Rattus norvegicus: one gene and its partner. The protein of the gene in region 1 binds, or shares a complex with, the protein of each later gene. Links are inferred from orthologs where the notes say so. Each region holds a gene or a part of one and is shown on either strand. Other genes may lie near its edges. The genes, in order: Cdhr5 and Myo7b.

The links.
Region 2: Cdhr5 (region 1) and Myo7b share a complex: the UniProt entries of both Homo sapiens proteins name them as parts of the IMAC/intermicrovillar adhesion complex. The link is inferred for Rattus norvegicus from reciprocal best matches to the Homo sapiens genes CDHR5 and MYO7B.

What each region holds. Positions count from the first base shown.
Region 1 is NC_086019.1:205,804,911-205,808,181, forward strand, and holds part of Cdhr5 (cadherin-related family member 5 precursor), read right to left. Parts: intron 3,265-3,271; coding exon 3,172-3,264; intron 3,034-3,171; coding exon 2,932-3,033; intron 2,823-2,931; coding exon 2,712-2,822; intron 2,624-2,711; coding exon 2,453-2,623; intron 1,918-2,452; coding exon 1,827-1,917; intron 1,746-1,826; coding exon 1,648-1,745; intron 1,545-1,647; coding exon 1,344-1,544; intron 1,212-1,343; coding exon 1,098-1,211; intron 1,023-1,097; coding exon 938-1,022; intron 840-937; coding exon 264-839; intron 1-263. UniProt on the Homo sapiens protein: Intermicrovillar adhesion molecule that forms, via its extracellular domain, calcium-dependent heterophilic complexes with CDHR2 on adjacent microvilli. Thereby, controls the packing of microvilli at the apical membrane of epithelial cells.
Region 2 is NC_086036.1:23,941,158-23,945,767, forward strand, and holds the start of Myo7b (unconventional myosin-VIIb), read right to left. Parts: upstream 2,893-4,610; 5' UTR 2,807-2,892; intron 1-2,806. UniProt on the Homo sapiens protein: Myosins are actin-based motor molecules with ATPase activity. Their highly divergent tails are presumed to bind to membranous compartments, which would be moved relative to actin filaments.

The DNA of each region.
Region 1 (3,271 bases):
CCTTACCTAACCTAAGACCCTAAATACAGATTGTCCTGGGAATTATGGGACTCACTGGCTTTAAAATCTGCTTCTGTATCCCTGTACCTTCTTCAGTTCACCTATTATGACCTCTTGGTGCCCTCTGTCTAGAGCTAGACACAGACTCCATAGTCAGTGTGGTCAGGCCAGACTAGCCCGGGTGGACCCTTTTCTAGAGCACATCCTAGAACCCCTGTCTGAGTTAAGGGTGACAGTGACTCCAGAGCAACGTGTTAGACTACCTGATATGGGCCCAGTGGTTGTCGGCTGAGAGGTTCCTGGCTTGGGGGTCTGTGTTGAGCCACTAGGTGTGGCTGGCTGAGAAGAGGTGCTGGCCCCTGGAGTGGGGACCATTGGCTGAGAGGTTCCTGGCCTGGGGGTCTGGGTTGAGCTGCCACTAGGTGTGGCTGGCTGAGAAGAGGTGCTAGCCCCTGGAGTGGGGACCATTGGCTGAGAGGTTCCTGGTTTGGGGGTCTGGGTTGAGCTGCCACTAGGTGTGGCTGGCTGAGAAGAGGTGCTAGCCCCTGGAGTGGGGACCATTGGCTGAGAGGTACCTGGTTTGGGGGTCTGTGTTGCATCCCCACCAGGAGTAGCTGTCTGGGGAGAGGTGCTGATTCCAAGAGTAGGGGACCCCCCAGGTACAGTTGGGGCAGAGGTGAGTGGGCTTAGAGTTGTGCCTGCAGGTGGGAATGGGCCAGCACTTCCCCCAGAGCTGGTTGTGGCAGGTCCTTGAGAGGTCCCAGAGGTCGAGGGGGTTTCCAAAGTGGTGTTACTTGAAGGCCCAGTTGTTCCTCCAGCTTCTGGGGGTGTGGGGGACTCTGGTGGTGGCATGTACAGAACTCGGGTTTGCCTCTGTCCCCAGATATGCCTGTCCCAGAGGAGGAGCCACCCTGCCTGGGGATCTGGGGGTGCTCACCTGTGGAGGGCGGCTCTCGCTCTGACACCTGGATCTCCACAATAGTGGTGGCTATGTCTTTAGTCACAGTATTGTTAGCTTCTACCTGGGTCAGGAAAGGGACTTGTTCTCTTGGGTCCCTTTTTACCCCCACACCTTACTCCCCTTATCCCCACTCCACCTCTATGCGGATTGTTCTTTCTGTCTCCATAGGCACAGTGGTCAGCAAGATATCCTTATTCATGATGAATTCTGAGGAGTTGGTGACTTGATATGTGACAGCCGAGTTGAGGTCCTAGATGAGACTCCAGTGAGACCTAGGCCTGGTACTCTATAGTCCATCCCAAGTAGTCTACACAGAGAGAGGAGGCCAGAGGGTCCAGGTATACTTATAGGGTTCGTAGGTAAACAGGAAGGGACTGCATACCGGGAAGCCTAGGTACTGAGCCTGGATCCTCAGGATCTCTGAAGGGAAGGTCTTGTCCTTCACTGCTGTGCCAGCCTCAGAACCCAGTACCACCGTGCCAAAGTACAGGCTCTGAGAGAACTGGAGTGGGTTCCCAGTGACATCTCGAGCCTCCACAACGGCCTGAGTCACTGAGTATCGAGCCATGTCAGCCTGCTCAGCCTGAGGAGTCAGGGGAAGCGGGAGTGGGTATTGGGATTTAAGGCAGCTGGGGCCACAGCTGGGGCCACAGGGGACCCCTCTCTCATCCAGTGCTGGTACCCACCCTGACCACCAGGGTGAAGGTCATGGGGCTGGGGATACTTTTGGCCATCGTGAGGTTGCCATCGTCTTTGTTGATGATAAATGTGTCATCCGTGTTTCCTGGGAGAATTCGTGGTGGAGTTTGGTGTCTGGTCCCTCTGTTGTGGGGTCCAGGTGCTGTGGGGCTAAGCCGTTACTCACCCATCATAATGCTGTAGACGATAGGCTGGTTAATGGCCTGATCTCCGTCCACAGCATAGATGGGACCAGGACTCAAGATGAGAGGGGATGGCTGTAAGAATAGGAACATCTTGAGGTTTAAGAGCCCCAGCTCTTACTCTCTTGTTGTCCCTCAAGATCTGAAACATGGATTGGAGCCTGGAGGGAGGAGCAGTGCCTGCTTGGGACAGAGCTGCAGCCACAGCAGGACTCAGTGGCAACAAGAAGCTAAGAAGGAAATGTTGTAGCCCCAGTGTATGCCGCCTGCCCAGGGACACCACTGGCCTCAGGAGACTCAGCTGACCAAGGACTTAGCAGATCCTTATCAGCATCAGCCCAGCCCCTGAGCTCCTCACATCCCAGCCGACATGTACTCCTCACTGATTTTTGTCTGTATGCCCCACCCCCACCTGGCTGGGAAGGATACTTAATGATTGATTGGTGATTAATTGATTGATTAATTGTTCATTCAGGTTTGTTTCACAAATCACAGAATTGTCCACAAGCCTCTCCAGGAGTGCAGGACGGCGGCCAGATCCCTACCCTGAATATTTTCTGACTTGGCCTTAGATTCAAGTCTGACCCTGGGCCTCCTCACTTCCCATTACCAGTTTGTGTCCTGTGGGGATAACTGTGTGGTACTGGGCCTGAATGCAGAAGTAGTCATCCGTAAAGGAGCACGGCAGGAACCAGGGGGTCCGTAGGTCAGCTGGCAGCACGTTCAAGACCACGGTGGCAGTGGCCGTATGGCTGGGAATTACATTCTCTTCCCTAGTATCCTGTAGTAACAGCCAGCCCCTGATAGGTTAGGCCCAGCGTGGACAGGGCCTACAACATCCAGGACTCAGGAAGATGTGATCTGCCTACCCGTGCCAGCAGCCTGAAGGTCATGTTCGGACTCTTGTAGTAATCCAGAGTCTGGTCCAACTTCAGAGCAGGGGAGTTTATGCCCACCAGGGAGAAGAACTTGCTGGCATTCTGTGGGAAGGGAAGAAGGTTGGACTCTGGAAGGTGGATGAACTGAGGCCTGGAGGCATCAGAAAGGGTGGGGGTTGTCAGCAATGTGTGGGGATGGGGAAGCACTGACGGGGGTCACTTCCTGCAGAGTGTAGACTAGGATGTCATCTTTGTCAGCATCTGTAGCCTTCAGCTCTGTCTCAGGGATGACGATCGTATTCACTCTGGTGTCCTGGGGATGGAGAGGAAGAGGTTGGTCCAGCCATGCTGTAGCTTCTGTATATAGATCTCCCTGATGTTGTCTCCCAGAGACCCCTGTGTCCCCCTGCCTTCCCCATACTCAGACAGCACTGGTTCAGACTGGACTCACCTCCGATACATTATATTCCTTGATTGTAAAGGGGAATTCTGGTGCATTGTCATTGATGTCCAGGACAGCCACAAACACCCTGAACTGTGTCACCTGCAGC
Region 2 (4,610 bases), on another chromosome or scaffold:
TGCTTATTCCCCATGTGGCCCCAGGGCCAGGATCCAGGACATGGGAGTCACCACCCAAGGAAACGAAAGGTTGATGCAGGAGCCACAACCCAGCACAGGGGCTGGGAGGGCACATCAGCACGTGCCAGCAGGCGATGGGATTTAGGCCAGACTAACCTGAATTCAGCACCAACCCAGCTTAGCCAGTGGTCCCAAAGCAAGCCCAGAGAAGGTCACTCTGGGTGGTCAGTATTAGAGAAAGGGCCTGCCAGAGCCCAAGAAGTCAAAAGCTGTTATGTTTCTCCCATACAAGAGCAAGCTTATTTTCTTCCTGCCTTCCTTCCTGTCTTCCTGCTTTCCTTTTCTTTCCTTCCTCTATCTACCTACCTATCTATCTATCTATCTATCTATCTATCTATCTATCTATCTATGTCTGTCTATAATCTATTTATCTAACCATATATCTATCTATAATCTATCCATCTATCTATCAGCTATCTATCTATCTATCTATCTTTGTCTGTCTATAATCTATTTATCTAACCATATATCTATCTATAATCTATCCATCTATCTATCAGCTATCTATCTATCTATCTATCTATCTATCTATCTATCTTTGTCTGTCTATAATCTATTTATCTAACCATATATCTATCTATAATCTATCCATCTATCTATCAGCTATCTATCTATCTATCTATCTATCTATCTATCTATCTATCTATGTCTATATGTCTATAATCTATTTATCTAACCATATATCTATCTATAATCTATCTATCTATCTATCTATATCTATCTATCTATCTATCTATCTATCTATCCACCCACCCATCTATCTATCCATCCCTCTAGCCATCTGTCCACCTATCTATCTATTCTGAGACAGGGTCTCATGTATCCTAGGTTGTCCTCAGTCTCACTCTGTATCCAACAATAACCTTGAACCTCTGATCTTCCCTCTGACAAGTGCTGGGGTTACAGGCATGCATCACCACAGCCAGCCAGTTTATGTGCCGAGGAAGACTGAACCCAGGGCTTATGTCATGCTAGCCAAACAGCCTATCAACTATTCACACCTCCAGCTGTTTTTGTTATGAAATTCATTATGGTATAATTTTCTTTCCACTTGCATGATAATTCTCTCTCTCTCTCTCTCTCTCTCTCTCTCTCTCTCTCTCTGTGTGTGTGTGTGTGTGTGTGTGTGTGTGTGTGTGTGTACATGTGCATGTGTGTATCTCTTTTCCCAGTTGCACTACCTTGCTTTTCTCCTCATCTTGCTTCCTCGTTTTTCTTTAATGCTATTTTATTATTGGTATACATATGAGCTAATAAAGACACTATTTTGTTTCCTCTTTCAATAAAGCAGGTGTTTGTGTGAAAGAGTCTTTGTCTTTCTTAGCAAATGGTCTCTATTTCTAGAATTATCCATGAGGTTGTTATGGAATATTTTAGTTCAAGAGCTTCAATATTTCTTTCTTTATTAATAGTTTAGTTCTTTGTTCTGGGTCACAGAACCTGGAACTCTTAGTTGATTCCTTCTGGACTCAGCCTAAGTCAGTGGGATATTACCAGAAAGCTTTATCAAGGTTCCTGGTTGAGTTCCAGCTCTGTTCTGAGAGCTAGAGACAGTTCTGGGGGCTCAGAAAAGGAACTGGTGTGTGGGAGAAAAGACTGGCATACATTAGCATACCTGCTGCCAATTGACCCTGAGCTGGAGGTAGAAATCGTAAAAGGCAAGCAATACCGACTGAATGAGCTTTTACCGAGGCTCAAGCACAAGGGAGGGCTGGGAAAATGGCTCCTTCGATGAAGTGCTCACTGCATAGCATGACCCTCAAGGTTTTCTTTCTTTTTTTTTTTTTTAAGCTGCAATCCTAAACAGAGTTCAGGGGTCTTATGAATCAGAACAAAGTTGACACCCACAGATATAAAGTCGATTCTGAGTAGAGGCCTAGTAAGAGGAAACAGGCATACCCACCTTAGGAGACTTAGGGCGGGGGCCCTCACACTACCAGCTACCAAACCTCAGCAGGTCCCTACTGACTTCGGGTCCCTACTGACCATTTTCCGCCTCCATGAGTGGAGTATTACACATCAAGCCCACAGCCCGGTGCCCACAGCCGGGGTGCCTACAGCCGGGGTGCCCTCAGCCGGGGTGCCCACAGCCGGGGTGCCCTCACCCGGGGTGCCTATAGCCGGGTATCTCTCTCCTTTGCCATCTCTTCTTCCTACACCCACACTCGAATCCCGAAAAGGCTCTAAGGACAATGAGTGACAGTTTTGCCTCAAACCAATGCCCAGGACTAAACACAGTAACCTGCCTCCATAGATGAAGTGGATGAGCCTAGGTGGAAATCAAGAATGAGCTGCACTTGTTCCGGAGGCACCCCAGCCCCAGACCTCAGTCTCCTGCCTGTAAAGTGGAGACCATATCACTGTAGTGTTTTGAGAATACAGAGAGTCTCTTGGTTTGGTACAACATGGGCTCAGCATGGTACCTAGGCTGTCCTCAGTCCCTTGGATTTCATGGGAGGCCTTTCAGCAGGGTTAGAGGAGAAGCAGCAGACGGCTACTTCCTTGAGTGGTGCCGACCCTCCAGTAGCATTGGACTTAATAGCCCTTTTCACCTCCAGGAGAAAGCCCGCTGCCCGAATCAACTGCCCTACAAGTGCCGGACTGAGGTTTTGGGTTTCCTAAGTCTCAAGGGGCACCTCCAGCCCTCCGCTCCACAAACCTGCCCCATCCTGTTTCCCAGGTCTGTACCTCCAGATCAACTTCCTGCCTGGAACCCCTCTTTGCACGTATTCCAGGGTTCTCTTACCTTATCAGGATCAGAGTATAGCGACCCTATTGACTCCACCCAGGGCACCCTGAAAGATCCAAGTAGGGAGACAGGTTCAGAGCTCCTGGCAGTGTGGGAGAGAAAGGACAGGAAGGGCTCCAAGCGGAAGTAGCTAAGCACTGTGGGCATATGTAATTTATGACGGGACTTTGTCCTCTGTCTCAGGAATATCCACTCCCACAGGTCCTCCTGCAGCCCCAGCCAGCAGCCTGGAAACTGTCTGCTCTTCAGTCTGAGCTGTGATAATCACTCCCTAGAGCCTCAGAGTCTGTGTCCTAAAAAGCTCTGCTTATCACTTGCCAAGCCCTGGGTGACAACCAGCTGACTGTCCAGACAGTTCGGTGTCTTCGAAGAGTGGTAGAGGTTCCAAGGTTGAGGAAGCATCTGAGTACTGGCTAGGGCTGAGACACGGTAGAGATATTGGAGTTATAAGGTCAGAACCTGGGTGGGTCCTGGCCGCCCACGCTAGCTAGGCTAAGCCACCCATCGTCAATAAAACACGTTTTTAAAAATCGGTAACCAAGGGGTTGGGGATTTAGCTCAGCGGTAGAGCGCTTGCCTAGCAAGCGCAAGGCCCTGGGTTCGGTCCCCAGCTCCGAAAAAAAAGAAAAGAAAAAAAAAATCGGTAACCAAAAACAGGAAAAGCAGGGAGAGAGAGACTCTGGGCTTGGAATGGACTTTTTGAAACCTCAAAGCCCATCCCCAGTGATACACTTCTTCCAACAAGGCCACACTTCCTAATCCTTTTAAATAGTGCCATTCTCTGGTTGCCAAGGAATCCGTGAGTCTATGGGAGCTTGTATCATTGAAACCACTGCATTCATTAGAGCTACATTGTGTAGAGGGACGAAGGGGTCCGGTGACCCTCCCAAGTCCACTTTCTGAATTCTCATATGGAGTCTAGGTTTAACCAGAGGACAAGAGGTGCCCGTGCCTAAGCACTCCTGGTCAAGGGAATGGTACTGCTCACCAGTGACCCACCATTGTTTCAGCTCATCTATCTTGGAAATGGTCAAACACATTATCAGAAGTGTGAAGTCTCTTCAGGGAGACAAGTTCCTCTTCTGACTGGCACTGGGCTTCAGCCTTCTCCCGGCACGAGATTCCCGAGAAAGTTCTATTTCCCAGGCACCTTTGTCTCAATACCCGGATAGCCAAAGTGGGACACAGGTGTGTCTCTTGAATACCTTTATTCCTAGTTTGTGTCACAAAACTTGGAAAAGTTGAGCATTCCCTAAGTGTGTGGAGTGTGTGAAGTGATTCATAGCTGTCTGATGATACTTGAGATTATGCTCCAGTTCTGGAGTCCGGAGGGCCTCAGGATGGCACCAGTCACCACTACTTAAGTGGAGAGTTGGACCTCTCACTGACCTCTGGGAAGGTAAAACTCCTGGATAAGACTTCATTAGCTTTCAGATACAGAGCACAGGAGATGCTTGGGGAGAGGCAGCCAAAGAGGGCAGGGAGGCTCTGTGCCCTGCTTTCCCATAAGCCTGTCTCTGTATCTCTTACCTTGGCCATTTATCTATAGCCATTGTTATATCCCTTTATAACAAGGTAGGAACCATCTCTAAGCATTTACCTAGTTCTAAGAGCCCATCGGTGGGGGCTGGGGATTTAGCTCAGTGGTAGAGCGCTTACCTAGGAAGCACAAGGCCCTGGGTTCGGTCCCTAGCTCCGAAAAAAAAAAACAAAAAAAAAGCCCATCAGTGCCCAGTGGTGGGGCACTGGAGAATATCTTGGACTCCCCCATTAAGGTGTCCAGTGTTACATGGATGAGTAG